7 linked regions of the Oryctolagus cuniculus genome follow. The protein of the gene in region 4 purifies or fractionates together with the protein of the main gene of each other region. This does not show direct contact. Links are inferred from orthologs where the notes say so. Each region holds a gene or a part of one and is shown on either strand. Other genes may lie near its edges.

Region 1 (4,410 bases), on a different chromosome or scaffold from region 4:
AAGACCAAGGAGGTGTGACTAACAAGTAAAAAAGGATGATCAGAGATATCCAAGGTACTGATAGTGTTGTTCTTGTATTCCTTGTCAAATAATGCTTATTTGTTTATGTTCACCTACTTTAAAGGCATAGCAACATAGAGAGAGAGAGAGAGAGAGAGAAAGAGAAAGTGAGAGAGAGATATCTCATTCAATGGTTCACTCCCCAGACGCCCACAAGAGCCAGGGCTGGGCCACACTGAAGCCAGGAGCCAGGAACTCCATCTGGGTCTCCCACATGCAGAGCAGGAACCAAAGCACTTGGCCCATCATCCACTGCTTTCCCAGGGCCACTAGCAGGAAACTGAATCAGAAGCAAATGAGCCAAGGTAGGAACTGGCATTCTGATACAGGGTGTGGGCGTCCCAAGCAGCAGTTTAACCTGCTGTGCCACAGAGCCCACCAGGATATACAGGTATATTTATGTATATATGCTTTAAATCATACATCTATAACATTCTTTCTGCACGTATATTTTACCAAAATACATTTTTTTAAATAAAAAGATTTGTTAGTGAAAACGTGAAATAAATAATATTTTAAAAAAACAGGAACGGGGGCCAGCGCTGTGGTGCAGTAAGTTAAAGCCCTGGCCTCTAGCACTGGCATCTCATGTGGGCACGGGTTCAAGTCCCAGCAGCTCCCCTTCCGATCCAGCTCTCTGCTATGGTCTGGGAAAGCAAATGGAAGATGGCCTAAGTCCTTGGGCCCCTGCCCCCACCCAGAAGAGGCTCCTGGCTCTTGGCTTCAAATCGGCTCAGCTCTGGCCACTGCAGTCATTTGGGGAGTGAACCAGCAGATGGAAGACCTTTCTCTCTCTTTGTCTCTACCTCTCTCTGTAACTGTCTTTCAAATAAATAAAATAGATCTTTAAAAAAAAAAAAACAGGTAAGAAGTTAAAAAGTTATACTTCTTGAGTATGCAAATCATATTGCGCTTATACAGAAGAATATCTTTGTTCTTTGAAGATTTTTTTTTTTTTTTTTTTTGACAGGCAGAGTGGACAGTGAGAGAGAGAGACAGAGAGAAAGGTCTTCCTTTGCCATTGGTTCACCCTCCAATGGCCGCCGCTGCAGCCGGCGCACCGCGCTGATCCGATGGCAGGAGCCAGGAGCCAGGTGCTTTTCCTGGTCTCCCATGGGGTGCAGGGCCCAAGCACCTGGGCCATCCTCCACTGCACTCCCTGGCCATAGCAGAGAGCTGGCCTGGAAGAGGGGCAACCGGGACAGAATCCGGCGCCCCGACCGGGACTAGAACCCGGTGTGCCGGCGCCTCAAGGTGGAGGATTAGCCTATTGAGCCACGGCGCCGGCCTTGTTCTTTGAAGATTTTAAAGTATTTACAAATAAAGTAAAAACATATTTGCAAGTCTCAAGTAGCTCAAGAATTTAATATGCCAAATAATTATTGAATCATTAAGAGACCATAGAGGTATTAACAACACTTGCAATTTTCCTTTACGTTTGAAACTTTCCATAATGTAAATATCTTCCCATAGAATGAAATTGTATAAAGAAGAGCCAAATACAGAGATGCCACGAAGAAAAAAGGACTGGAGAGAGGCAGGGAATATCTCTGTGTTCCATGCTCTTCCCAAGATCACCAGATTTCCTTGTGGAACTCAACGGCAGCTTTTCAGGTTTTATTTCCTTTTAACTGCTCTTTCCTCCTCTTTTCTCAAGCCTCATCTCCATGACTCATCTCTTAGTGTAAGTGCCTCCCCACGGTTCTACGCTTGGCCCTCTTCACTTCCAGGTTATCCAATCAATTCCCTCGACTTCCAAATCTCTAATTGTGTTTCCCTAAATTACATGAGCTTATGTTGAACCACACCCACTTTCAAACCAAACTCATTATCTGCTCCTCAGCCCAAATTTGCTTTCCTCCCCATCCATGTTTACTATCTCACTGATTGGCCAAAAGCCCAAGCTTTGCCCAAGTTCTCCTCTACACCAGTAATTTTCTACAGTTTTCTGTGCCCAAGACTCTGTAGTAGGCAAAAAACTGGCCCTCATGACTTTCATCCCCTGGTACCATGCCTGTGAATGTTATGTGGCAGAAGCGACTCTATAAATGTATGTAAGGTTACTAAGAACCTGACAATAAAACACAAACAGATTGGCCTGGGTGATCCGGATGGGTCCACTGTAATCACATCAGTCCTTAAAAGCAGAGTTCTCTGGCTGCTATGTGATGTAGCAAAAGGGGGAGCCGGGGAGGTTTAATGATCAGGAAGATTCCATGTGTCACTGTTGATTTGAAGATGAAGGGGACCACGTGTCAAGGGCACAGGGACCTCAGTCCCACAACTGCAGCCTCTAAGACAGGTTTCCGTGCCAGGGGATCGATTCCAGGGCCCCCACAGGGGAATCAAGTCCCTGTGGCTGTGACCTCCGCCTGCGTGGGGTTGAGCACGTTCCTGCCTCCCCTCCACATCTACAGAAGAAAACCTACATTCCTTAACCAAACTCTCAACATCCTCCACCATCTGTTCGGAACCCACATCTCCCGCACCAGTTCAGCCGGAAACACGGGCACACCAAAAACTACCTCAGAGCCTGGAACTCAAAACCTTAAAAAGGGACCATGAGTTACGAGCAAGGCACACGCCAGATCGCCGGTACACAGGCGGTTAGGGGCACAATACACGAGGAGAAATTCCGGCTGGAGAAGACAGGCGGGGAGACTCCACAGGGGGAGGCCACTAGAATACTCCAGCCTTCCTCCCAGCCCGGGCACCCTCGAGGCGACGCGCCGCAAACGCCGCCGATCCCGGCAGCCCGAGCCCTCATTTCGCCCGGCTCGTCTACACCGCCGGCGCCAGCAAGGCGGGAGGCGGCGCGCAGGAGGCCAGTGCTGGGGAACCGGGACCCTACCTCTCAGCGATGTAGAGGGTGCCGGTGCCGAGGCCCTTCCCGTTCAGGACTGCCTCGGTATCCGGCTGCTGGTGCCGCAGCCCTTCCGTGGGCCCGGGAGGCAGGAAACTCCGGAGGAAGCTCATGGCTGCACCGAACGCGGAACGCACACCGGCAGGCAGCTGCGGCACAGCGACCCCACCTCGCTCCGACCCGCCCCGGAAGCAGTGGCAGCCACCCCGGAAGAATAACTTAGCCTGCGCGGAAATTTGAGGGCCATCGACCATAGAAACGAGACAATCTAGGAAAAACATTCGGAGGTCCATGAAGACCAGGCCGCGTTTCTCAGGCGACCCCACCCCTCACTTTGCTTCTCTCTTTCTGAGGCTGTAGCCTTGGAATAGCCGAGGGTTCTCTGGGAACTTCAGGGTCGTCACCGTACCCCTATCAGAGCAGAAGGACGAACAATATTAGTCCTTTTTCTACAGAAGAGGAAACGGGCCTGAGACACGGAGTTCTTGGCCTGAGAACGCACAGGAAGTGGAGACCACCGTCCTCTAGAGGTCAGAAGTCTCCCGGCTCAGTTCACGACTGTTTCCTGCCCCCGCCTCACCCGGGCTGTTCGTAGGTCAGGTGGACACAGCCAGGTCCAGTTATGCACCTGGCGCGCGAGCCACGTGTCCCCACGTGTCAGGCGGGCGAGGGGACGAAGAGAGAATTGACGCAGGGTGAAGAGCAGGTTAGGCAGTAAAGATGGGGCGCCAAAGGGAAAAGAACTAACCCCCCAGACATGGAACTCTTGCTGTATTTCCTCCTTAGTCACTTAGTAACGCGTCTAGCAGCAGTGAAGACGTACGAATAGTCATGAATGTAGCTAAAGTTAGCAGAGTACACATGCCAGGTACTGTTTTAGGCACTATGTCCATATTACTTATTTATACGGAGTTACTACTGCCTTGAATTTTACACCTGAGAGACCTGAGGCATTCAATTCAAGAGCAAGGGTTGGATCATGAGACACCTAGTGGAACTCTTGTCAGTCTCTCTAGGCTCCACTCTTGTGGCCTGTAAAATCGCTGGTAATAACGAGGCAGTATGCTGGATTGTTGAAGCTGCAGGACGGGACACGTGGTGGTAATTTACTCTATCTCCTCCACATTTAGAGGAGTCTTGGGTTTTTAAGCTGCATTGGTTTGTTGGTAGTGAGGCTGGAGGAGGGGCAAAATGAACAAAGTATTAGGAAGCAGTTGCCGTAGAACAGATGAGAGTAGCAGAAAGGATGGGGATACTTTTCAGTCGGGCGCTGAGTGGCTGTTCGGACATGTCTGGTGGCTCTGCGGACTATAACAGAGAACATGGCGGCCCAGAGGGAATGGACCCCGATGGTGTCATCGAGAGCAACTGGAATGAGATTGTTGATAACTTTGATGATATGAATTTAAAGGAGTCTCTTCTTCGGGGCATCTATGCTTACGGTTTTGAGAAGCCTACAGCTATTCAGCAAAGAGCTATTATTCCTT
Region 2 (3,948 bases), on a different chromosome or scaffold from region 4:
GGAGGGGATGGCAGTGAGTCCCAAAGCCCCTGGTACCCAGTTTCTTTGTCCTCAAATAAAGGCCCTGAAGCCTCAAACCACAGCAAATATTTAGTCACAGAAGGTGACAAGGTTGAAGTCATTAAGAATACCGTTACAGGGCTGGCGTTGTAACGCAGCGGGTGAGGCTGCCACCTGTGACGCTGGCATCCCATAGGGGTGCGAGTTGTGCCCTGGCTGTTTCACTTCTCATCCAGCTCCCTGCTAACAGCCTGGGGAAAGCAGAAGATGGCCCAAGTGCCTGGGGCCCTGCATCCACATGGGAGACCTGGTTGAGGCTCCTGGTTCCTGGCTTCAGCCTGGCTCAGCCCTGGCCTTTGTGGCCAATAGGGGAGTGAACCAGTGGATGGAAGACCTCTCTCTCTAATTCTGCCTTTGAAATAAATAAATCTTTAAAAAAAAAAAAAAATGGCCTGGGCAAAGCAGCAGAAGATGGCTCAAGCGCTTGGGCCCCTGTCACCCATGTGGGAGACCTGGAAGAAGCTCCTGGCTCCTGGCTTTGGCTTGGCTCAGCCCTGGTCTTTTCAGCCATCTGGGAGGTAAACCAATAGATGGATCTCTCTGTACCTTTTTCAAATAAATCTTTTAAAAACATACAGATTGCCTGGTACTGCTCAGGGCTGACACTGCCACACCCTGAGCTCAGGCTACTGAGGCCAGCACTATCCAACAGAACCTTCTGCCCTGCTAAAATGTTTGCCACCTGTGCTGCCAGTTGGTAACCCTCGCCATGCGACACTACTGAGCAGGGGAAATGCAGCTGGTGTGAGTGAAGAGCTGATTTTCTGTTTACTCTGAATTCAAATCTAAAGAGCCATCCAAAAGCAGCGGCTGCTGCAGTGGGCAGTGAGGTCTAGTGGGATGGGACACAGGCAGAGGCTCCTGAGCCTACGCAGGCCGCCTCTGCCCCCACTCCCACCACAGCCCAAGGGCTTCCGAGGCACCTCCCCTCCCCCAGCCTCACTGTGAGGCAGCCAGAGGTCAGGCCCGTGCTGCCCGCCCCCAGCTGTCCCACCTTCAGCTTCTGCTGCTGCATCTTGTTGGTCTGGTCATAGTCAGCCAGCTTCTTACTCAATTCTTCCAGCTGGGGAGGAAAAAGAAGGGCAGACTCAGGAGGCCTTCCCCTGTATGTCTAGCCAAGCTACGGGAAGTCCCCGGACCACCACACCCAGTGTTCTTAGAAGAAGAAACTCAAGCCTTCTTTCTGGCCTCCAGTTAGGGCACAGCCTGATGCCCAGCTGGCTGGCAGGGCCTGAGTGAGGCAGCACACCACACCGATGTTGCCAGGCCCACCTGCCCAGCCCCTCACCCGCCCCTACCCTGCAGCCACCAGAGCTGGCAGCACTGGCTCCTCACCACCACCCAGTTCCTGCCACTGCTCCCCAGCCACCCTTCCCAAGCTGGGGTAGGAACGGGGGCCTGGCCTCTAACTAGCAGATGCACTCAGTGACTGCCCACCCCGCCTGCCACCCAGACACTGCCAAAGCAGAGGCCCACAGATGCTCAGACCTCGTCCCACACCCACAGGCTGTTAGGGCTGCTGCTAGCAGTGTGGCTGCTGTGTAACATCAGCATTAGGGGAGAGACGCTGGAGACGAGAGCAGGGACAGCACACATCCTCCAAGCCCGCCCCACAGTCCCACAGAGAGAAGAGCAGAGCGAGGCGGGGCAAGAGGGAAGGCAACAGCCACAAGCAGCCCTGGCTCGTCCAGGCATTCCGGGAGTTCACACATGACCAGACAGCAAAGGGGAGAGGCAGGGGCTCCACCGCTAACTGTCTGCTGTCCAATCTGACTTCTCATCCTCGGGGGCTCCTTGGAGGTGAGAGAAGGGGGTCCCAGTCCTTAGCAGGCTCGAGGAGACTGGGGAGGAGGATGGTAGAGAAAGGTGTTCTCACAAACACCAGTGCAACAGCCTCAACGCCCTGGAGCAGAGAGAGAGCTGTGAGGAAGAGCAGTCCAACCCTGTGTCCCGCCTCGGGGCAGAGCCCACCTGCTCCTCTCCACGTCTCTCCACTATGCTTAGGGTGCAAGCTGCAGAGCGCTGGGCGGCCTCCTGGACCCGCACCCTCCCTAACCCTGTACATCTCTCTCCTTCATGGCTTCAATAAACCCGCACTCCGTGGGAAAGAAGAGTGCCATGAAAAACAGGGCCCTAGGTACCTGATATCCCTTAGTCGGATGTCCCTAACCAGAAACAGGACTTGGGAGGCTCTGGAATCCCAGGGACTGAGGTCGTCAGGTATGGGAAAGATGACACCTATGCTACCTCTTTCCTTGACAGGAAGCTGAGAGAAAAGTGCAGTAGGGTGGAGAGGCCGACCTGGGATGGGTGGGATGAGGCCCCGGGGGGGCCAGCACACTGCACTCCTGGGCAGACCCTGCCCCCTTCACAAACAGTTCACAACGGGAGCTGGCGGAGGCAAGCTGCAGCCGGGGTCATGCACCGAGACTGGTCACCGCTTAAGCAGCCAGCATTTAGCGAGAACCCCAGGCATTACCTGCTTAGTCTGCTCTCTCTGAAATACCTCTAGCTGCTCCACCTGTGCACGGGGGAGGAGCAATGGAGACAGAGTGAGATGGGGGCCAAAGAGGCACCAGGCTGAGCTCACTGGGGCTCTGGTACTTTCCCCCAGGGAACTACACTTCAGGCTGTTTTAGAAAATGCCAGTTAGGCTTCTTCTAGGTCCCAGTGGCTCCTGGGACCTCCAGGGCAGCTGTTCCTCTGCAATGGGTTGGTGGTGCTCCCAACTATCCAGGCACGGAGCCCCCAGGTAAGGGAGACCACGGGTATTTTCTTTAGGACTACAGAGGCTTCACTCTTGAGCTCTACCAACCGCCTCTCCTTTTCAGCCTCCAGTGAAGGAGACAAGCAAGACCCTGCGGTGTGGGAGCCAGCAGCCCCAGAACACAGAGGAACAGTGTCCCTGCCCCCTCAGGTCCACAGCTCTGAGGATGGGGGAGCCGGGCACGGTACCTGGGCAGTGAGTTTCTGTCTCTCTTCCTGGAACCGCTGCCTCTCCTCCAGGACCTTGGCTTTGGCACCCTCATACTTCGCAGTCATCACCTCCAGCTCCCGAGCAGCGCTCTGGGCTTCCCGCTGCATCTCAGCCAGGCGGCTCTCAGCATCGGCCCGCACAGAAGCCAAGTCTTGGACGTACTTCTCCCGGGCCTGGTCCAGCTCCACTTCCAGGAACTGCCGGCCAATGCTGACCCGCTCGCCCAGCCCCCGGTTCTCCTCTGCCAGCAGGCCGTGGGCCTTCTTCAGCATGCTCAGCTGCTCAGCATAGCTGGCCTTCTCCGCCCGCAGCTGCTGGGCTGCGCGCTCCTGCTCCGCCACCTTCTGCCGCAGGGGCCCCAGCTCCCCGAGCTCCCGCTGCAGCCGCATCAGCTCTGCCCGCAGCCCACCGGCTGCCTGCTTGCTCTGCTCCAGCTCTTCCCGGTGCCGTTTCTCGGCGGCTGCCTGCTCGGCCTGCAGCTGCTGGCAGAGGTGCTTCGCGGGCAGCAGCTCGCTCACCAGGGCCTGGGTGCTGGTGTGCTCCAGCTGCAGGGCGGACAAGGCCTGCTCCTTCTGGAAAAACTTCTCCTGCCAGGCCTTCAGTTCCTGGCCCAGCTCCTCGGCTCGCTCCGCCTGCGAGGCCAGCTCCTGCCGCAGGTTCTCTGAAGCCACGCGCTGCTTCTCCGCCTCCTCCCGAAGGCTCTGCACCTCCTCCCGGAGGGCGGAGCTGCGCTCAGCGGCTCTGGCACTGCTGCTGGCTGTCTCAGCCTGGAGGAGGCGCAGCCGCTCTTCCAGCTTCTGGCTCTTCTCGGACTCGGCTATCACCAGTCGCTTCAGCTCCTTGCTCTCTCCCTCTTTCTCCAGGACCTGGCGGTTCAGGATGGATACCTCCTCCTCCAAGCTGCTGATAAA
Region 3 (3,948 bases), on a different chromosome or scaffold from region 4:
CATGAGCTTCTGGAAGACCTCTTGCGCGCAAGGAGCTCGAAACTTCCTGCGCCAAAAGACACTTCCGCTTCACTGTGTTCCCATCAGCCTTCCGAAGCAGCCTCCTGCGTCAGTGTGGGGCTCTGCAGGAGACACGTTCTAAGTCCCAACCATAGTACCATCATCATCATCAACCACCTAGTCAGCATTAACATTGGTTTTCCACTTAGCTCATAAAGTCTCTCCATTTGCGTCATGGTGCACGCGAGGGCTGCACACGGCGAGGGCATGACGTGCTGTGGCGTACGCCGAGCGTACAGGCCCCTCCTGTTTACGGTTTATTCCGCAACAACACGGCTGTTCAAGCTGCTGAGTTCTCTGCTGTCTGCTTTTGCTCCCCGCCTGCCCGGGGTGTTACGTAACACTGTTCTACTCTCCACTGGGAACGTGTTGTGGCTTGACTTAGAGGAGTGATCGGGTCCAGGTTTGCAGATCTAGTCCCTGGCTGGGGCATTTCCCACCGCATCGCATCAGGGCACAGGCGCTGTCTCTTCTCTGTGATGTTCGTGCCTTTCGGTCATTGCCCGCGTCCATTCCTTCATGTGGCCGTGCGGCTGCGCAGGCTGTCATTCTTTCTTCATCAGTTGAGCTGGAATACTGCTTGAGCGAGAATCTTCTCCACAGTGGTTTTGTTTGCAGTTCCTGTTGGAGCCGGTGCCGTGGCTCACTAGGCTAATCCTCCGCCTGTGGTGCTGGCACCCTGGGTTCTAGTCCCAGTTGGGGCGCCGGATTCTGTCCCGGTTGCTCCTCTTCCAGTCCAGCTCTCTCCTGTGGCCCGGGTGGGCAGTGGAGGATGGCCCAAGTGCTTGGGCCCTGCACCCCATGGGAGACCAGGAGGAAGCACCTGGCTCCTGGCTTCAGATCAGCACAACATTGGCCGTAGCAGCCATTTGGAGGGTGAACCAATGGAAGGAAGACCTTTCTCTCTGTCTCTGTCTCTCACTGTCTAACTCTGCCTGTCAAAAATAAAATTAAATAAAATAAAAACCAGTTCCTGTTGGAAAGACAGAAAAATGCCTGGGTTAATGCCTTCATTTATGAGCCAGAATCCCTGGAGAGTTGATTTCCTAACATCCTCCAGAGTGGCTAAAGAATTGGTTTTTATTCTCTTGTGGGACACAGGGACAGCATGAGTAAGCATTCATGGCATAAGCGTGTCTGGTGTGTTTTCAGCCACGACACCTATGTCCTTATTGAGGCTCAGGTCATCCCGCACTGGCCAACTGTTGCCTCTGCACATGATTCTGAGGGCCTTGGACAGGAGGTCCTGGTGGTCTCTGACCACATCTCTGCCTCTAGGAGGTGGAGAAACCCCTCCTGACTCAGCTTGGCCATTTCTCTAAGAAGCACTAGGGCAACACGGTGGATTTGAGTCCCGGTCTTCTTGTCCTTGGAGCCGGGCTACACTGGACTCTGACTGGACCGATGTCCTCTCTGCCCCACTGGCCCCCTTCAGAGGAACCCGCCTCTGTGTTGAACCCCAAGTCCTGCCTGCAGAGTTTGAGGGGCCTGCCAATCCTCCTACTGAGGACACTAGCCACAGCTGTGGGGTCACCCCACCCCATGCCACAGTGTCCCTTGGTCCATGCCATGGGAAGAATTGCTGGCATCATCTACAGAGTGTCGGGGAAGCATCTGGTGTGTGCTGGGTTCAAGGGTGGATTGCCGCGTGCCTGGCCCCCAGCTTTCGCACAGGCGGGGCACAGGCTGCGGGTCTGGGGAATAAACAGTTCGTGGCATCCGTGGAGCATCAGAAAGTTCCCACTGTGGTCGCTCACTTGATATTCACCGTCACCTGTGAGGGAGACAAGGTGAGTCTGTTATCCCAACTTCCAGATGTGAGGACGGCGCTCACACAGTAGATGGGACGGAGAGCTGTTCTGCCACGCTCAGGTCTTAGAGAAGCCCGCAGCTGCTGCGCGGTGGTGGCCGGCCACCCTGGGTCCCTGTCCCTGCTTCACGCTGCTGCTGCCCTGGACATGCTGTGCTTTTTTTTTTTTTTTTTGACAGACAGAGTGGACAGTGAGAAAGAGAGAGAGAGAGAGAGAGACAGAGAAAGGTCTTCCTTTGCCGTTGGTTCACCCTCCAATGGCCACCGTGGCCGGCACACCGCGCTGATCTGAAGGCAGGAACCAGGTGCTTCTCCTGGTCTCCCATGGGGTGCAGGGCCCAAGCACTTGGGCCATCCTCCACTGCACTCCCTGGCCACAGCAGGGAGCTGGCCTGGAAGAGGGGCGACCGGGACTAGAACCCGGTGTGCTGGTGCCGCTAGGCGGAGGATTAGCCTGTTGAGCCGTGGTGCCAGCCCCATGCTGTGCTTTTGACAGAGGGACTAGGAAGGGCATCCAGTAGGACTGAGCTTGTCACTGACATGTGACAGGTGCCTGGGGCGCAGGTGATGCAGCCGGGTGCCCGCGCTGGTATCTTGGTAGCCTTACCCGGCAGTACAGACACCACACCGGATGAGTCTTTAATATCATGGCATCCAACCTTTGTTAGAATCAGATGGGGTCCTCCAGAAGAGAGGGCTGCCCTTTATTTACGCCCCTTTGCTACTGCATTTGGCTTCCAGTATCCCAGCAGCAGGTCGGCCACAGCCCGAAGCAGAGAAACAGAAGAGATTCGGTCCTAGCTGGTGAGCGGCTAAGGGTCGAGGTCCTGCAGGTTGGAGGACGTCCAAGGGAGCTTTTGACTTGCAAGCTCTTTCTGCTCTGGGGTGTGACAGGCGTTCTGCCAGGGCACAGGACTTCTCAGGGAGACCCTCACTGCCTGCTCCCCCCTTCTCTCCCAGCGTGGATTTCGTGAAGTGGTCCTCGCAGGGGATGCTGCGGATGAGCCCGGACGCCATGAACGCCCTCTTTAAGCCGACCATCGACAGCATCATTGAGCACCTCCGTAAGTGCCTGCGGCGCCTTGGCCACACAGCGGGGCAGAGCTGAGACTGGGGCCTGACTTCTCCAGCATCAGGAGTCAGGCTGGTAGGGGGCCTGGGGCTGGATGCCACAGGAGTGAGCAGGGCTTGGGCTGGAAGCCACAGGAGTGAGCAGGGCTTGGTCATGTAGCGAGGAGGTCCCACCCCTCTCCTCAGGTCCTGCAGAGCCGCCGAGAGCCTGCCCTCACCTGGGTTCCAGTTTGGCCCCAAAAGACAGAGAAATAGGAGCTGGGAAGCCTCCAGGGAGTGCACTGTCTGCCTCATCAGGACACGGGGGGTCCTCACCCTGCTGGGAGAGAAGCAGCTGTGGTGGGAACCAAAGGAAGGTTTTCCCGGGGCAAAGAGGACCTGGCATGCAGTCCTACTGCCCCTGCCAGTGGCCCTGACCCAGGGACACACAGCAGACTCGCTGGATTGAGGTCCAGCAGGGGCCTGCTGGATGGGAGCTCTTGCTGTCCATCTCTCAATTAAATAAAACAGAATGGCTCCTGGAGAATTCTCTTCAGTGAGCTCGGATGCCGCCAGCCAGCTCTGCAGGCGGCCCACGTGGTTTCTGTCCACTCGCCACGGGCTCGGGCGGCCCACGGCTCGTGTGCCTGCTGGCTTTCACCAACGCGATGTTCTGTCTCCCTCTTGCTTTTCAGGGGATCTGTTTCAGAAGCCCGAGGTGTCCACGGTCAAGTTCCTCTTCCTGGTGGGTGGCTTTGCCGAGGCGCCGCTGCTGCAGCAGGCGGTGCAGGCTGCCTTCGGCGACAAGTGCCGGATCATCATCCCCCAGGACGTGGGCCTCACCATCCTCAAGGGTGCCGTCCTCTTCGGCCTGGACCCCGCGGTGATCAAGGTGCGCCGGTCCCCGCTCACCTACGGGGTGGGTGTGCTGAACCGCTACGTGGAGGGCAAGCACCCGCCCGAGAAGTTGCTGGTGAAAGATGGCACACGCTGGTGCACCGACGTCTTCGACAAGTTCATCTCGGCAG
Region 4 (3,948 bases):
ATCCAGCAGGGAGTGTTTATAACCAGAAACACTGCTGCAAGATATAAATTAGCTTTCATTCCTCCCATCAGAATCTCTGTTGCCTGCCCCCACCCCTGACACATGCAGGCCAACCAGTGCTGCTACCTGCTCAGCGAAAGAAACAATGCAGTACGAACACTGGTTTAAAAATAAAACAACAGAAACACAAAACCAAAGCTTTGTGGTGCATTCACATTGGTTTTGCTGCTTGCTTAGACCCACTAGATGAGATAAAATGCTTGTAAACATGAAATGTTATTAGAATTTCTCAACATGGCTGTCTTTTGACCATCTAAAGTATGCTATTTTAAACCAAATAATTCATTTATTTGAAAGGCAGAGAGAGAGAGAGAGAGAGAGAGAGAGAGAGAGGCCACCTGTATTCCCAAATGCCCACAGTGGCTGGGGCTAAGCGTGGGAGCTGGGAACACAACCTGGATCTCCCAAGTGGGTGGCAGGAACTCAATTACTTGAGCCATTAACTGCTGCCTCCCAGGGTCTCCATTCGCAAGAAGCTGGAGTGAGCCGCTGGAGCTGGCACTGCGAATCAAAGCCAGGTACTCCCCCACGGGATATGGTGTCTTCGCCACCGGTCTCTATGCTGGCTCCCCAAGTACATCCTTGGAGCGGAACTAACTGTGGATGGACAGAAACACCAAGCAGGCACAAAGGACAATCCCTGAAGGCACCTGTGAGGTCTCGAAGGCAAAGCCACTTGAATGCAAAACACGAACACACACACATAAAGCAAGGCACAGGCACAAACACGCAGGAGGGAAGCCAGTGGGCACCTGAACCCAGCTCTGAGCAGTGGAGGCAACCCCTCCTATGAACTCTGTTGGCTTTCGGGCAGACTCTAACAAACTGAAGATCTCAGAGCCGTCCATGAGCTTTTCGCCGGAAGCCTGCTTGGTCTGAGTGGACAGAGAAAGGCAGAGTCAAGCACCAGAGACACAGGTCCTCAGCAGAGACACATTCACGGCTTGTTACACACAGCTGGAGGCGCAGGAGAAGGGGAGGAGGAAGGAAGGAAACTAAGAGACGGAGTTCGGAAACGGAAAAGAATGGGAAATAAAATAGCCAACCAGGGTGACCCTGAGCTCTTGGTTGGTAAAGCAGAGAGAGAGAGAGTTATTAGGAGAAGGGCGGCACCCAGTAAAGCGGGTCATGTTTTTCCTTCATTGCCAGGCACAGCAGCACGATCACATCTTGGGAACGGGTAGCTGGAAATAAACATTTTAATGCCCTCTTGGGACTGCGGTATCGACTGAACCATGAAAAAAACTCAAAAAGCTGGGTTGGCTGCTCTCAACACAAAGCCAAGCAGCAAGAGAAACGGGAAGGTGTGGGGCGGAAGGGGCACTGCCTCAGAACAGGTCATGCTGGAATCTAAAGCTGCGGCGGAATGAGAGCCACTGGTTACCACCACGCGGGACGTGGACGACTCGGTATGGTAATGAGCAGTAGCCACGGTCAAGGCTGGCTCCTGGGAGTATCTCCACTCGGACAGGCTCTTCCGTCGGGGACCGAAGAGGCCCACCTTCAAGACCTCACTCTCTTGCACCTGCTCCGTTTTGCCAAGGCGCAGGCTGTCCAGCCCAGGGTGGCCAGCTGCTTCCAGCCTCAGCTCTGCAGCCTTCCTGGTGTCTTCATCCTCAGGGCTCTGCCGACGAGACTCGGCCTCCTTGATGGGTGCCAGAGATTCTGACAACTTCCGCTTTGTCGTCTGGACCTCGGGTCCTCGCTTGGGTTTCTCACCGGCAAGGGCTTCCAGGCCCTCATATTCCGCCAGGCCGGGGCCCCTCTCCGTTTTCAGAGGTGTTTCCAGTGTGGAGGGCGGCTCTGCTTTTTCCCCCTCCTTGGCTTTCCCAGTCATGGTCACAACTCTTCCGGAGACGGTGTCATAGGACTTTCCTAGCGTGTATATCTTCTGCTTGCTTTCTTCTTTCAAGTGCACTTCTCGGGCCAAGTCATGGAGGCCGTGCATGTCAAGGGAGCCAGATTTTAACATGTCGGCTGGGAGGTCACCAGTTCTACTGCTCACCGTCACCACCTTGTAAGTGACAATCTTTTTCAAATCACCATCAACTACCTCAGTGGGTATTTTGTCTACAATAACCCAATCCTCTGTGCCCTATATTTGAAATATAAAAGCTAAATTAGAAATTCTGATGGTTATCTCATTTCTAAAATAAGAACCTTTTAAGAAAATCAGGGCAAGAGCTACAGGCAGGCCTGAGGTGGGGCTGCACAGGACGGGCAGTGTAATAATTAACAGCTGCATTCTCTTCTCATTGGAAATTTACTAACTATAACCTTCAACCTGGAATATACTCTTTAGGCAGAATTACACTTTCAGATTTCTCGACATGAACATGCTTTGGTGGTCAATATTGCAAGAAATATATTTGATCTTGTGATTAACTATGGTCATTTTATATTTCAAGATTACAAAACATTACTGAAGTCATTATTACAAGTTAGTTTCTGTATGTGAACACAAAAGAACAATTCTCTGTGTTAAATATACTGTATACTTCAAGTACAAGGATACTTCAAAAAGTCTGTAGGAAAATGCATTTAGAAAAAGTGTATTTTGGTGCAAAAAGCTTTGAAATCCATGCAGTTTTTTTCACTTTACGCATCTTCCAGGAACTTTTTGAAAACCCTCATTCTCACAAGAACTTGCCAACGTTATTCACATTTTTGTACTTATAATTTTCTGTGTTTGTGAGCTGTACTTCCTTTTGTTGGTATCTGACTCCACTAGAGCAATTACCTGATAAATATCGTGTGTGCCTGAGTTCTAGGCACTTCCATGAAATAGCTCCCATTGAGGGACACTGTTGGAGACTTGTATAAACAGATCACAGCCACGTGTGCAGTGTGCAAATTTATTTACAACTGAAGTTCACTGTCTCAGTAGCTTCTTCCCCACTTTCCTCAATGTGAATCCCAGTACGGCAGAAGAAATGAAAGTCTGTATTCAGATGTCACTGGGCAGTTGACTAGCCTCATAGCTTACAGAAGGGAACCAGGAGCGGGTGAGTGCTTTGGTTTACATTTTAATCTAGGATGTTTTCTACATTCATATTTACGGTAGTCTGAAAACTTGAATCTAGAAATAGCATGTGCCTTAAGGAAAATGACTACATCTTGATTACATGCTGGTGCTGGGTTAAATGAAATGAATTGAAAAAAATAACCTCTAGGGTCGCTGGGACAGTTTTCTGGAAAATGACTTGACGAGAGGTAACCATAGAGTCAGCAGAGCCTCCTTCCTGCATTTTCTTGATCACACTCGGCTATGGGAAAACCAATAAAAGTTCAGAGCTTTCAAAATCAATCAAGGTCAGCTACAGTACAGTAAAGAAAAACCAACTGTGGGTAAAAACAGGCAGTGAAGTTTCACTAAGACAAAAGTACAATCATGGTGCTTCAATGACAACATATAATCACCTAACAGAAGCACAAGGAAGTGACATGTTACAAATAATGAAAATACTAAGGAAATTCCTTTGTCTTTTCCCTAGAATTGAAGCAAAACTTATAGACCCACCTTACTTTTAAATGAGAGAAATTTAAACAGGAAAATAAAACTAAAGACATTTTAATAATACTGAAGTCTGAACAGCAATTCCTTCTACAAAGTCCTTGATGTTTATTTTTACCTGAGACTCAAGGAATGAAGAGCTTCCTTGTTGCAAAAATATAACTTTTTCAGAAATTTCTCTTTCTTCTTTGGTCTGTTTGAATAAAGGGGGTTGGGTTGGAGAAGAGGAAGTAGACAGTTTCCAAAAAGGCAAGTTAGGAAGTGAGTTCTTTTATTGTATTAAAATCTATACTCATGATACTCATTCAAACTTTTAAAGAAGTAAATTATTATTTGTTAATTTGCAAAATGGACCGAAACTGTCTCCAATAATT
Region 5 (4,490 bases), on a different chromosome or scaffold from region 4:
CAAAAGATGGAAGATCTCTATCTCCCTGCTTTTCAAATAAATAAACTTTAAAAATAAATAATTCTCATCTCACCTTTTTCCCTTTTTCTGTTAAAAATTTTTTAATTTATTTATTTGAAAGGTAGATTTACCGAGAGAGAAAGAGAGAGAAAGAGAGAGAGAGAGAGAAAGGTCTTCCTTCTATTCTTTCACTCCTCAGATGGCTGCAACCGCTGGAGCTGCGCCAATCCGAAACCAGGAGATTCTTCTGGGTCTCCCACGCGTTTGCAGGGGCCCAAGGACTTGGGCCATCTTCTACTGCTATCCCAGGCCACAGCTGAGGACTGGATCGGAAGCGGAGCAGCGCCCATATGGGATGCCAGCGCTGCAGGCGGAGGATTAATTTACTGCGCCACAGCGCCGGCCCCTCTGTAACACTTCTAACACTCCACATAATTTACTTTTGTTTATAATCTGTTTCCACACCTTTCCTCCCTGCAAGCTCCTTTAGAGACCTCTGCTGCTCACCACTTTATCCAAAGTGCCTAGAACAGTGTCTGGCTCACAGTAGACACTCAATGGTGGATCCAAAGATCTTTGCTCCTTTAGGAGCTACCCATTCCACAAAAGCAGGAGCCACAGCTAACTTGTTTTAGGAAATTCGCCCCCCCCCCACACCCCCAGTCTAGCTTACTGCTGATACACAGTGATCGTTTTAAAGGATAGATCCTGAAATAAAATGGTAGCTCTAGTTAAATATAGTCGCCCTGCTAATGTTTAGTGCAAGGAGGATGGCTGGCTGAGATTATTCAAGTGGTTTCCGTGGGGAAATGTTTTCTGACCTACGCTTTATACTACATTTTTTTCAAACAAAATCAGTTCATACGTTGGCGGTGCAGGCAGAGTAGAACCAGAGGCCAGTTCTCTCTCTCACATACACACACCAACAATAATGGGGACACCACAGACTGGGTCTTAAACCAGCAGGCTGTAGACTAGGCGAAGGTGCTCAGTCAGTCGTGCCTGCGTCGACTTTTTTCTTCTCGTCGTCGGTTTTTTCTTTTAATAAAGCCTGGCACCGGGTCTGATCGGATGGCGACTTCTGGCATGACCTAGGGGCAGTATTCCTTATCAGTATTAACTGGTACTGTTTCAAAGCGCTTGGTGGTGAGGAACAAGGCACGTAAAGTTTCACACGGCGTCCAGAACCAGACCAGCTCGATACAGCTGTCAGTTCTTAGGAGTATGACGTTTCTTATTCTTCATCTTTCACTCTGCTTCCCCCTACTCACTTTAACCTAATGGAGGGAAGCAGACGCCCACTCCACCTCCGGGCATGCGCACCAACCATTTGGCCACGCCCTTTCTTAATTAGATTATTGATCCGGGTGCGAGACGGAGGAGAAGCCGACTGGCCTCCGTCCCACCCTGGTGGGATTTTGTCGTTAAAACGATATAACGTACGTCACACCACAGGTTAAAAGGGCTGAACAGCCCAGCGCTCTCCGCCAGAACTGCAGGTCTGCGAGTACGTCCCCGAGGACACACGTCTCTCTCAAGCCCGCCCTGACTCTGCGCTAGAAGCGGGACCCAGCCACCCGCAGGAAACTGGGGAGGGAGGCGACCGCCTGGCTGACTTTTCATTGGTCCAGAGCCACAAAGATTGGCAGTGTCTCCCCTTTCCAGTCTCTGAGTGGTTGAGACCAAAAATCAACGCCGCTCGTCATTGGCTGAATCCGGCTGTCAGTCCTTTCAGGTCTCGCGGCGCGGCGCAGCGCGGCGCGGCCTGTAGAGCAGTCTTGAAGCCTGCTGCAGGGAGAAAATGGCGGTCGCAGTGAGAACTTTGCAGGAGCAGCTAGAAAAGGCCAAAGAGAGCCTAAAGAACGTAGATGAGAATATCCGCAAGCTCACCGGGCGAGATCCCAATGACGTGAGGTAGGAAGCGGACGGGAACTGCGGGCTCGGAGAGGCAGCCAGCAAGTCAGGGTGAATTGGGGGCGGGGAGAGCGGCCAGCCCTGAGAAGGCAGGAACATCGAGGCCTGTTCCCGGGCGGCGGTAGATTCCCGTCCTCCCTGATTTGGGGAGGCCCCAGCCCCGCCGTAGCGCGCCTCGTTGCGCCGGCATGATGTCCCGGCTTGTGAGATGGGCTGGACTGGAGATTCCCGCCCTCAGCCCCGCGGGCCCCGGAACTGCAGTACAAAGCCCCTTCCCGCTGCGGCGGCCGCCCTCCCTGCCCGGGGTTGGCCCCAGACCCTCCGGGCCGTGCCCACCGCCTCGCTCCCAGCCCTTGCCCACGTGCGTCTAACTCCGGGATGGCGCCATGGGGACCCGGTCCTGGCTTGGTAACGAGTGGTGGCATCGAGGTAAACATAATTTCTGAGATAATGGTCTCGAGAAAAACGAGGAAGTTAAATGAAATAGGACTCCCTGCCCCGTTTCAAACGTGTGGCTTTTAAACCGTCTTAGAATTTTGGGGAAGTTATTATTATTATTTTTTTTTTATGATCTAACACAGGTAGGAAGGGATTTGGTGCCGTTAGATTGGTCTTCCTGTAATTTTTGTACTGACGAGTAAATCCCTTCCAGGCCCATCCAAGCCAGGTTGCTGGCCCTTTCTGGTCCTGGTGGAGGTAGAGGACGTGGTAATTTATTGCTGAGGTAAGATTCCCTTACGCTTTTACTAGTGTTAAAGGCTAACTAAATTAATACACTGTTTGAACAAAACCTGTGTTGGAGCCAGTGTTAGAGTAACGTGGTATTCTCTGTCTCTCCATCTCTGTGTAACTGTCTTTCAAAATAATTAAAATACATCTTAAAAAAGAACAACACAGTATTTGCATTTAATGTTGTAATCAGCTAGTTTTCTATGTAACTAGCTATTCTGAAGCTTCATTTATATGTAAGAGGTTGGAGAATTTTGTGCAACTTTCTTGTATTTTTTCGTGAAGTATTTTGGAGTGAATCCCACTTAACATAACTTTAACTGAAAGAATTTTTAAAAATCAAATTGCGTTCTCTTGTATCTCGTGTTTCAAGTGCTTTCTGTTGAACAATTTTAATTGCAGGCGTGGATTCTCAGATAGTGGAGGAGGACCCCCAGCCAAACAGAGAGACCTTGAAGGGGCAGTCAGTAGGTAGGTTTGAAAGATTCTTAAGTACACAAAAATAAGTATTTCATGAATATTGTTTTGTTGCATTAGAATTGACTAGTATCCACTTTCCCTAAAGCTTGCCATGGTATTTGACTGAACTGAGATAACCAGTGTTCCTCAAAATTCAGTTCTTTGCTCAAGGTGATCCAGTTTTTATCAGACTAAGGTCATAAGAAGTCCATTTGTACCGTATTTTTATGTCCTGTACTTAAAGAACTTAAATAGCCTAAGAAATAATTTATATGTCATAGGAGTTCAGAGTTTGGGCATTAGTTGACACGTTTTATCCTTTCTTTGCCAGAGGAAAAAGTAAATGGGATGGAGACTGCTAAATGAGTTTTCTGGGAAAGAGACCTAGCAACAGTAGGCATTTGCCTTGCTATGCATTTACATCAAATTCTGCAGTGGTTATTTAAATTACTTTTTGCCATGACAGGCTGGGCGGGGAGCGTCGGACAAGAAGAGAATCACGCCAAGAAAGCGACCCAGAGGATGATGATGTTAAAAAGGTACTGAGATTAAAAGAACTTAATAGAGAGTGAATGGAATATTTATACTCTGTGTTTAAAAGCATGGCACTCATATACTAGTTAGATTAATAAGATTTTCTTTTCGCCTACAGCCAGCGTTGCAGTCTTCAGTTGTAGCTACCTCCAAAGAGCGTACACGTAGAGACCTTATCCAGGATCAAAATATGGATGAAAAGGGAAAGCAAAGGTATCTTTAGAATTCTTTTGGGGAAACTAATCTGTCAAATCCTGCAATTTAAAAAATGTGAAGGGATTATTCAACTGTCTGCAGTATCAGAAAATGGCAGATTTAAATGTACAGCCTGTTAAAATGGGATTTTCTTTTTCTATTCTTAGGAACCGACGAATATTTGGCTTGTTGATGGGCACCCTTCAAAAATTTAAACAGGAATCCACTGTTGCCACTGAAAGGGTATTTATGGTTTTTGTTTTGCTTTATCAAAATGGTTGATTAATGTTTTTTGAAAAGAACTTAAAAACTCTTCTAAAACTTCATTGCAAGCCTAAAATGGAACTAAGTTAAAACTTTGAGGTTATTGTATTATTAGCTGGTATAATTTTGAAGGACTGTGAATTGCATGAACTATTTGTGATAAAAAGAGCCCTAGTCTGTAACTCTTAAGGATCTAAGTTGTGATCTAAACTCTTTGTCTGGTCTTGGATAAATCCCTTTGTTAGTGCATTTCAGAGTAGTTTCTGGCAAATAAAGGAGTTGAACTCTGATCTTGGCAACTAGTGATTCTAGCTTTTAAGATTTATTTACATTTAAAGGCAATACTTAGTAATACTTAGCATTCTAGAAGCCAGATTCCCAACCCTCCCTTTATT
Region 6 (3,948 bases), on a different chromosome or scaffold from region 4:
ATTCTGTCCCGGTCGCCCCTCTTCCAGGCCAGCTCTCTGCTATGGCCAGGGAGTGCAGTGGAGGATGGCCCAGGTGCTTGGGCCCTGCACCCCATGGGAGACCAGGAAAAGCACCTGGCTCCTGGCTCCTGCCAGGATCAGCGCGGTGCGCCGGCTGCAGCGGCGGCCATTGGAGGGTGAACCAACGGCAAAAGGAAGACCTTTCTCTCTGTCTCTCTCTCTCACTGTCCACTCTGCCTGTCAAAAAAAAAAAAAAAAAAAAAAAAAAAAAAATTTATTTAGGTGTAAGTAATTTTGAGCGGACAGCGTTGTGGCATAGCAGGTAAAGCATTTGCCTGCAATGCCAGCATCACATATGGCCAACAGTTTGAGTCCAGGTTACTCCACTTCTGATCTGGCTTCTCTAATGTGCCTGGGAAAGCAACAGAAGAAGGCCCAGGTGCTTGGAAGCCTGCACCACATGGGAGACCCAGAAGAAGCTCTTTGGCTCCTGGTTTCAGCCTTGACAATTGCAGCCCTTTTGGAGAGTGAACCAGTGGATAGAAGATCTCTCTGTTTCTCCCTCTCTCTCTTTCAAATAATAAATCTTAAAATAAATTCATGCATATGAATGTTCTTCAAAAATTTCATGAAAATGCATATTATAGAAAAGGTATAATGGATTTCAAGTATTTTAAGATTTATTTATTTGAAAGGCAGAATTACATTGGGGGGGGGCAGGAAAACAGAGAGGTGAGAGAGAGACAGAGAGAGACAGAGAGAGAGAGAGTGTGTGTGTATTCTTCTATCTGCTGGATCACTTACCAAATCACTGTAATGGCCAGGGCTGGGGCAGACCAAAGCCACGAGTCAGGAGCTTCTTCTAGGACTCTCATTTGGATGCAGAAGCCCAAGCACTTAGGCCATCTGGATTTCAAGTATTTTTACATCAAAATAAACTTAGCTGTTCATTCCATTTTTTCATGAACTTTCTGATGAACCCTTGATTAAGATAGCCACAAATGGGACCAGCACTGTGGCGCAGCGGGTTAAAGCTCTGGCCTGAAGCGCCGGCATCTCATATGGGCGCCAGTTCAAGTCCCGGCTGCTCTCTGCTATGGCCTGGGAAAGCAGTAGAAGACAGCCCAAGTCCTTGGGCCCCTGCACCCATGTGGGAGACCTGGAAGAAGCTCCTGGCTCCTGGCTTCGGATCAGCACAGCTCCAGCCATTGAAGCCATTTGAGGAGTGAACCAGCAAATGGAAGACCTCTCTCTGTGTCTTTACCTCTCTCTGTAACTCTTTCAAATAAATAAAATAAAAAAAAATTAAAAAAAAAGATAGCCACAAATGTTCTTACCTTAAATCTCTTGTCCTGTAATACTTTCTTGATGGCAACCAATTCTCCTGAATCACAAAGTTTTGCTTGATATACTACACCAAATGACCCATTTCCAATCACTTTAGTGTCTGTATAACTGACTTCTTGTGGCCTGTCTGGACCCTGCCCAGGAGTTGCCACCACTGTAGTTACCTTGCTGCCATCCTTGTCTCCTAAAGGAAGAAAGGGATTCAAAGAAAAAAAAAATTAGAAGTGTACAAAGTTAAACTGAGAAAACTCCCCCAAACTACAAAGACCACCATATTCTTTACTACAAATAAATTTTTAATAGTCATCTTAGTTTATCATATAAAATTACTTCAGTTATACATTTCAATTACAAGTAATTTTTAAGCCACCATTTATTTAATCATTCTGTAGACCAGGCATCTTACTTAGTTTATATGTATAATTTTATTTAGTGGAAACAGGACCCCATGAAGAAGATGTTACCATATTAAAGGTAATGGAAAGAACTTTCACAGCCCTCTTGTGCCTCCCCTCCTAGCAGAAATCCTAAAAGCTCTCTTCAATTCAAGCTGAAGACCTACTGTGTACTTGACTAGGCATAGCCCAGAATCACCATGTTCTCCGAATTCTTAAATTATTCTAAATTGCACTGCTAACTCCCTGGTTTTTAAAAGCATCATATTGTTCTCCTAGTGATTTCAGAATACACATAGACTCTAGAAGACTAAAATCATCTTAAAATAGCAGTTGTGCTTCCTACTTTATCTCTTCACTGACAAATCTAAAACCAATTTTCAGAATAAATTAAATCCTCAGGTTCACTGACTGAACTGTATATATTTCCTCTGCCATCCTTACCTAATTCATACTAACCCAGTAAAAGAAATGTAATATTTTTGGAGTATTCTTCATCACCAAAAGTTAAATTGTTAAATAAATTAATATCTAAAATGTTGGTGGAACATTATATTCCAGATTTATAACCATTTAAATTCATAGAAACATTAATATAAACAAAAGACAATAAACAATGACTGAGATTTACTCTCCTGCTTATAAAACAATCTTCATAACAGATACAAAGAAATGATTTGATTCCTACTGGGGTGGAGAATGTCCTGCACCTGGGCCATACAAGGCCCAATAAATTTGATCTGGTCCTGCCAAGGCAACCACTAGGACTCCAAATTCAGTAAATCTATGGCAGACTAACTTTTAAGCTGATAATTTCGTATGGACTGCAAATGATATTATAAATATCCAATGGCTCTTGACAGAAAAAAATTTCCCACCCCTGCATAGGTAATTTACAGGCAGTCATCATGGACAACTCTTGAACACATATACCTTGTTTCAAGGTAAAATTACCCAAGCAGGTAAGATTAAATTAGCACTAAGCTGCTACTGCTTGAAAGAGTGATTTTTTTTTTACATTACATGTTTTAAATGCATATAAACCCTAGCACAAACCAACACATACATAGCTGTTCCCAAAATTTCCAAATGCTCACTTTAAGTCTCATTTCCTAGTAAAATAAATCTCAGATACATTTACTAAAAATCTAGTTTAATCTAGAGCTCTAGTTTTCATGACTCAGCAGCCCCCAAAATATCCGTGTTAATCTTAACTATAATTTTCCAAGTTAACTATAAATCTTGGGGCCAGCGTTATGGCGCAGCGAGTTAACACCCTGGCTGCTCCACTTCTGAACCAGCTCTCTGCTATGGCCTGGGAAAGCAGTAGAAGATGCCCAAGTCCTTAGGCTCCTGCACCGGCGTGGGATACCGGGAAGAAGTATCTGGCTCCTGGCTTTGGATCAGCACAGTTCCAGCTGTTGTGGCCAATTGGGAGTGAACCATCAGATGGAATACCTCTTTCTCTCTCTCACTCTCTGCCTCTCCTCTCTCTGTTTAACTCTGACTTTCAAATAAATAAGTAAATCTTAAAAACAAAAAACTATAAACCTTATGTTATTTTCTTATTCATTTGCAAAATAAATTTCTTTTTATCTGTTTTTAGTACTACTAAGGACAGAGCTTAATTTTGAGAACTTAAACTCAAAATGAACAAGCCCAGGAAGATTTCATTCGGAAAGATTAAAATCCAAGGTATTGAATATATTCTTACAACCCAATGGTCCCAAAGAAGACAAAAAGCTGGAGTGACTTCAAACACAGTCTGACTCTTCCCTCTACCACTGAAGTTAAAACTCGATCATCAGAAAGTTTCAAGAACTATGAATTAATTTCACTGTACAAATTGCTTGCAAAATCTTACATGTCTAACTCACAAAACAGACCATCATTATCTTAATTAAGATAAATGAATAAATTGGAGATCGGCTGCTATACTACACAATTTTATATGAAAACAAAAACTGGGGTATACCACAAAATTATGCTTTTCTACGTTATGATGATATTTCAGTAAAGAAAACAACTCACACCTTTGTGCTTGTTCAGTAAGAGAACACAAGCAATGTCAACATTTGGGAAGACTTTCTCTTCTTCCCCCCTGAGGTTTATTTCTTTAAAAATCTTTAGAATCCAGGGACTGAAGAACAAGCCATGAAAGACATTCATTACAATCCTGGGATTTAGCATCTCTTCACTCCACATA
Region 7 (3,213 bases), on a different chromosome or scaffold from region 4:
GAAGGGAGGATGGATTTATCAGGAGTGAAAAAGAAGAGCTTGCTAGGAGTCAAAGAAAATAATAAAAAGTCCAGCACTAGGTAATCCTCCTGCCAGATTTTTCTAGTGCTACATCGGGGGTGCTCACCGCTAGGGACCCTGAGAGAGGGGAAGAGGAGAGTGCGGCCCACCGGAGTGCTCGGGCACCGGGGTCTCTAGTCTCCCGGACCCCCTCTTCTGGGTGTGCTGTTTCAGGGCCTGCTCGGAGGAGCAAGCGCTCTCACACTCTTCCTCACCGTGCAGGGCTCCCTCTCCTACCAAGCGCAAAGACCGCTCTGACGAGAAGTCCAAGGACCGCTCCAAAGATAAAGGGGCCACCAAGGAGTCCAGTGAGAAGGACCGCGGCCGGGACAAGGCGCGGAAGCGGCGCAGCGCTTCCAGCGGCAGCAGCAGCACCAGGTGGGGCGGGCGGGCCGGCGGCAGCCACAGCCGCCTCTCCACACGCACCTGCACGCTGGTGCCAGAGACCCCGGTGCCAGGCCGCTCAGGGTCTGCTCTGGGTGTACGGAGGGACGGCCTTTCTCCTTTCTGTGATGGCAGGGAGAGTGGTGTTGCGTGCGGCGTGTCCTGCGCTGCCGTGTGCTCACACTGCCCGGTCGGGAGCTTATCCTGGTGGTTGGAAACCGGCCCAAGTCAGTGAGCAGCGGCCTCCCGGGCAGAGCTGGCGGCTCTGGCTGCGCCGAGGGCCTCAGCGGGAGAGGCTTCTGTGCAGGCGGAAAGTGGCCGGGTCCTTTTGCCTGCCTCCAGGCGCTTGGGCAGGGGGCGCCTCCCTCAGGCGGGAGAGCGCAAGCGTGCAGACGCCCGGGGTCTGGTGGAGGAGCAGCTCCCGCCTGTTGCGGCGGTGACCCTTGGTGTCCTGCCTCAGGTCTCGCTCCAGCTCCAGCTCCAGCTCGGGCTCCAGCACCAGCACGGGCTCCAGCAGCGGCTCCAGCTCCTCCTCGGCGTCCAGCCGCTCCGGCAGCTCCAGCTCCTCCCGCAGCTCCAGCTCCAGCAGCTCCTCTGGCTCCCCGAGCCCCTCCCGGCGCAGGCACGACAACAGACGGCGCTCGCGCTCCAAGTGAGTAGGCCAGCCCGCGTGCCAGCCGGGCGGTAAACGCACCGAGTGTTTCTGTCCCGATAGGCTGTAAGCCGGGGTGACATGCATACACTGGTAGCAGAGTTTCCTTAGAAAGTGTTGGGTACGCAGGTAACTTCCACTAAAGGGAGTCCAGTGCGTTTTGAATTGACAGGAATTGTTTGTTGTGGTGTTTCATTGTCTTCCTCACTCAGATCCAAACCCCCTAAAAGAGATGAAAAGGAGAGGAAAAGACGGAGCCCGTCCCCTAAACCCACCAAAGTGCACATTGGGAGGCTCACCAGGAACGTGACCAAGGTGAGGGTCCCGGAGCCAGGCGGGACCGTGGGGGGTGCGGGGGTGCGGGGCTCGGCAGAGCTCTGGCTGACTCCGGAGTGTTACACAGGCCTCGGAGGCTGATCGCAGGATGAAGTAATGGGTGGTTGAATGAGCTTTCTTTCCTCCAGGACCACATCATGGAGATATTTTCCACCTATGGGAAGATTAAAATGATTGACATGCCTGTGGACAGGATGCACCCCCACCTGTCCAAAGGCTACGCCTATGTGGAGTTTGAGAACCCGGACGAGGCCGAGAAGGCACTGAAGCACATGGACGGAGGTCGGTGGCCCTGCTGGCGCGCTCCGGCCTCTGAGCCCTCCTGGGAGCTCTGGGGTTCCAGTGCGGGTGTGCTTACCAGAAACGTGTTTTTGTGGCACACTTGGTTTGGAAAAACATCCCACAATATGAGTGTATCAGCATTTTAGGGAACTTTCCATCTGTTAAAAGCTTAAATATCAGACAGGCTATACAGATATGCTTGGCTTTTCTCATTCTTTTAAGATTTATTTATTTGAGAGACAGGCACAGAGAAAGAGCGAGGTCTCCCATGTGCTGTTTGACTCCTCAGCCACCGCAGCCAGGGCCGGGCCAGGACCCAGGGACTCCATCCTGGTCGCCCGTGGGGAAGCAGGGGCCCAAGTACTTGGCCACCATCTGCTGCTTTCCCGGGCATGTTGGCAGAGAACTGGGTTGGAAGTGGAGCAGCCGAGACTGAACTGGCAACTGTGCGTGGGATGCTGGAGGTTGTAGGCTGTGGTTTCACAAACCTCTCCGCCATAGTCCAGCCCCTGTTGGGCTTTTTATTTCCTTTTCATTGCTTCTGAGTCATTTTTTTGTTTGCCAGTATTTTTAGGATTCCTTTGTTGAGTGGTAGGTTTGCTGAAATCACAAAACTTACTCTTAAATACTTGTGGCCTTCAGCTGCTTGTGATGTGTAGAGCTGTTTGTGTTGAGCAGAGTGTGTTGCTTGATTTTTTTTTTAAAGATTTATTTATTTGAAAGAATTACACAGAGGAGGAGAGGTGCGGAGAGAGGTCTTCCATCCTCTGGTTCACTCCCCAGTTGGCCACAACGGCCGGAGGTGGGCCCATGTGAAGCCAGGAGCTTTTTCCTGGTCTTCCCATGCAGGTGCAGGGGCCCAAGGATTTGGGCCATCTTCTGCTTTCTCAGGCCATAGAGAGCTGGATCAGAAGTGGAGCGGCTGAGTCTTGAACCCTTTTGGAAGGTGCCGGCACTGCAAGGGGTGGCTTTACCCGCTACACCACAGCACCGGCCCCGAGTGGAGTGTGTGTGTTTTTTTGTTTGGTTTGGTTTTTGTTTGTTTGTTTGACAGGCGGAGTAGACAGTGAGAGAGAGAGACAGAGAGAAAGGTCTTCCTTTGCCGTTGGTTCACCCTCCAATGGCTGCTGCAGCTGGCGCACCGCGCTGATCCGAAGCCAGGAGCCAGGTGCTTCTCCTGGTCTCCCATGGGGTGCAGGGCCCAAGCACTTGGGCCATCCTCCACTGCACTCCCGGGCCACAGCAGAGAGCTGGCCTGGAAGAGGGGCAACCGGGACAGAACCGGCGCCCCTACTGGGACTAGAACCCGGTGTGCCAGTGCCGCAGGTGGAGGATTAGCCAAGTGAGCCGCGGCGCCGGCCTGGAGTGGTCTTTACAGCACATGAGTAGTTGTGGATGACCATTTTTGTGTTGCCTTTCAGTCGGCACGGTAAGGAATGCCGGGCTTGCCTCTGCCCAGCTTCCTGCTTGCTGTAGTTGGGCTGGGGCTGAGTTCGGCA

What was found.
Region 1: the proteins of EPB41L3 (region 4) and CLNS1A purify together in Homo sapiens (affinity purification with mass spectrometry; 3 studies listed by BioGRID and IntAct, with this or other methods). This does not show direct contact. The link is inferred for Oryctolagus cuniculus from reciprocal best matches to the Homo sapiens genes EPB41L3 and CLNS1A.
Region 2: the proteins of EPB41L3 (region 4) and NUMA1 purify together in Homo sapiens (affinity purification with mass spectrometry; 3 studies listed by BioGRID and IntAct, with this or other methods). This does not show direct contact. The link is inferred for Oryctolagus cuniculus from reciprocal best matches to the Homo sapiens genes EPB41L3 and NUMA1.
Region 3: the proteins of EPB41L3 (region 4) and HSPA12A purify together in Homo sapiens (affinity purification with mass spectrometry; 4 studies listed by BioGRID and IntAct, with this or other methods). This does not show direct contact. The link is inferred for Oryctolagus cuniculus from reciprocal best matches to the Homo sapiens genes EPB41L3 and HSPA12A.
Region 5: the proteins of EPB41L3 (region 4) and PNN purify together in Homo sapiens (co-immunoprecipitation; 3 studies listed by BioGRID and IntAct, with this or other methods). This does not show direct contact. The link is inferred for Oryctolagus cuniculus from reciprocal best matches to the Homo sapiens genes EPB41L3 and PNN.
Region 6: the proteins of EPB41L3 (region 4) and GSK3B purify together in Homo sapiens (affinity purification with mass spectrometry; 4 studies listed by BioGRID and IntAct, with this or other methods). This does not show direct contact. The link is inferred for Oryctolagus cuniculus from reciprocal best matches to the Homo sapiens genes EPB41L3 and GSK3B.
Region 7: the proteins of EPB41L3 (region 4) and RNPS1 purify together in Homo sapiens (co-immunoprecipitation; 3 studies listed by BioGRID and IntAct, with this or other methods). This does not show direct contact. The link is inferred for Oryctolagus cuniculus from reciprocal best matches to the Homo sapiens genes EPB41L3 and RNPS1.

The regions. Positions count from the first base shown.
Region 1 is NC_091432.1:68,751,047-68,755,456, forward strand, and holds the start of CLNS1A (methylosome subunit pICln), read right to left. Parts: upstream 3,086-4,410; 5' UTR 3,037-3,085; coding exon 2,912-3,036; intron 1-2,911. UniProt on the Homo sapiens protein: Involved in both the assembly of spliceosomal snRNPs and the methylation of Sm proteins.
Region 2 is NC_091432.1:63,479,943-63,483,890, forward strand, and holds part of NUMA1 (nuclear mitotic apparatus protein 1), read right to left. Parts: coding exon 3,016-3,948; intron 2,582-3,015; coding exon 2,540-2,581; intron 1,124-2,539; coding exon 1,055-1,123; intron 1-1,054. UniProt on the Homo sapiens protein: Microtubule (MT)-binding protein that plays a role in the formation and maintenance of the spindle poles and the alignement and the segregation of chromosomes during mitotic cell division.
Region 3 is NC_091446.1:13,651,985-13,655,932, forward strand, and holds part of HSPA12A (heat shock 70 kDa protein 12A), read left to right. Parts: intron 1-2,830; coding exon 2,831-2,934; intron 2,935-3,615; coding exon 3,616-3,948. UniProt on the Homo sapiens protein: Adapter protein for SORL1, but not SORT1. Delays SORL1 internalization and affects SORL1 subcellular localization.
Region 4 is NC_091441.1:62,321,859-62,325,806, forward strand, and holds part of EPB41L3 (band 4.1-like protein 3), read right to left. Parts: intron 3,768-3,948; coding exon 3,693-3,767; intron 3,327-3,692; coding exon 3,228-3,326; intron 2,156-3,227; coding exon 1,445-2,155; intron 936-1,444; coding exon 813-935; intron 1-812. UniProt on the Homo sapiens protein: Tumor suppressor that inhibits cell proliferation and promotes apoptosis. Modulates the activity of protein arginine N-methyltransferases, including PRMT3 and PRMT5.
Region 5 is NC_091443.1:36,472,042-36,476,531, reverse strand, and holds the start of PNN (pinin), read left to right. Parts: upstream 1-1,357; 5' UTR 1,358-1,801; coding exon 1,802-1,914; intron 1,915-2,566; coding exon 2,567-2,638; intron 2,639-3,045; coding exon 3,046-3,114; intron 3,115-3,568; coding exon 3,569-3,641; intron 3,642-3,754; coding exon 3,755-3,849; intron 3,850-3,998; coding exon 3,999-4,074; intron 4,075-4,490. UniProt on the Homo sapiens protein: Transcriptional activator binding to the E-box 1 core sequence of the E-cadherin promoter gene; the core-binding sequence is 5'CAGGTG-3'. Capable of reversing CTBP1-mediated transcription repression.
Region 6 is NC_091435.1:76,474,216-76,478,163, forward strand, and holds part of GSK3B (glycogen synthase kinase-3 beta), read right to left. Parts: intron 1,532-3,948; coding exon 1,338-1,531; intron 1-1,337. UniProt on the Homo sapiens protein: Constitutively active protein kinase that acts as a negative regulator in the hormonal control of glucose homeostasis, Wnt signaling and regulation of transcription factors and microtubules, by phosphorylating and inactivating glycogen synthase (GYS1 or GYS2), EIF2B, CTNNB1/beta-catenin, APC, AXIN1, DPYSL2/CRMP2, JUN, NFATC1/NFATC, MAPT/TAU and MACF1.
Region 7 is NC_091450.1:33,012,856-33,016,068, forward strand, and holds part of RNPS1 (RNA-binding protein with serine-rich domain 1), read left to right. Parts: 5' UTR 1-9; coding exon 10-80; intron 81-282; coding exon 283-438; intron 439-904; coding exon 905-1,096; intron 1,097-1,308; coding exon 1,309-1,411; intron 1,412-1,560; coding exon 1,561-1,714; intron 1,715-3,213. UniProt on the Homo sapiens protein: Part of pre- and post-splicing multiprotein mRNP complexes. Auxiliary component of the splicing-dependent multiprotein exon junction complex (EJC) deposited at splice junction on mRNAs.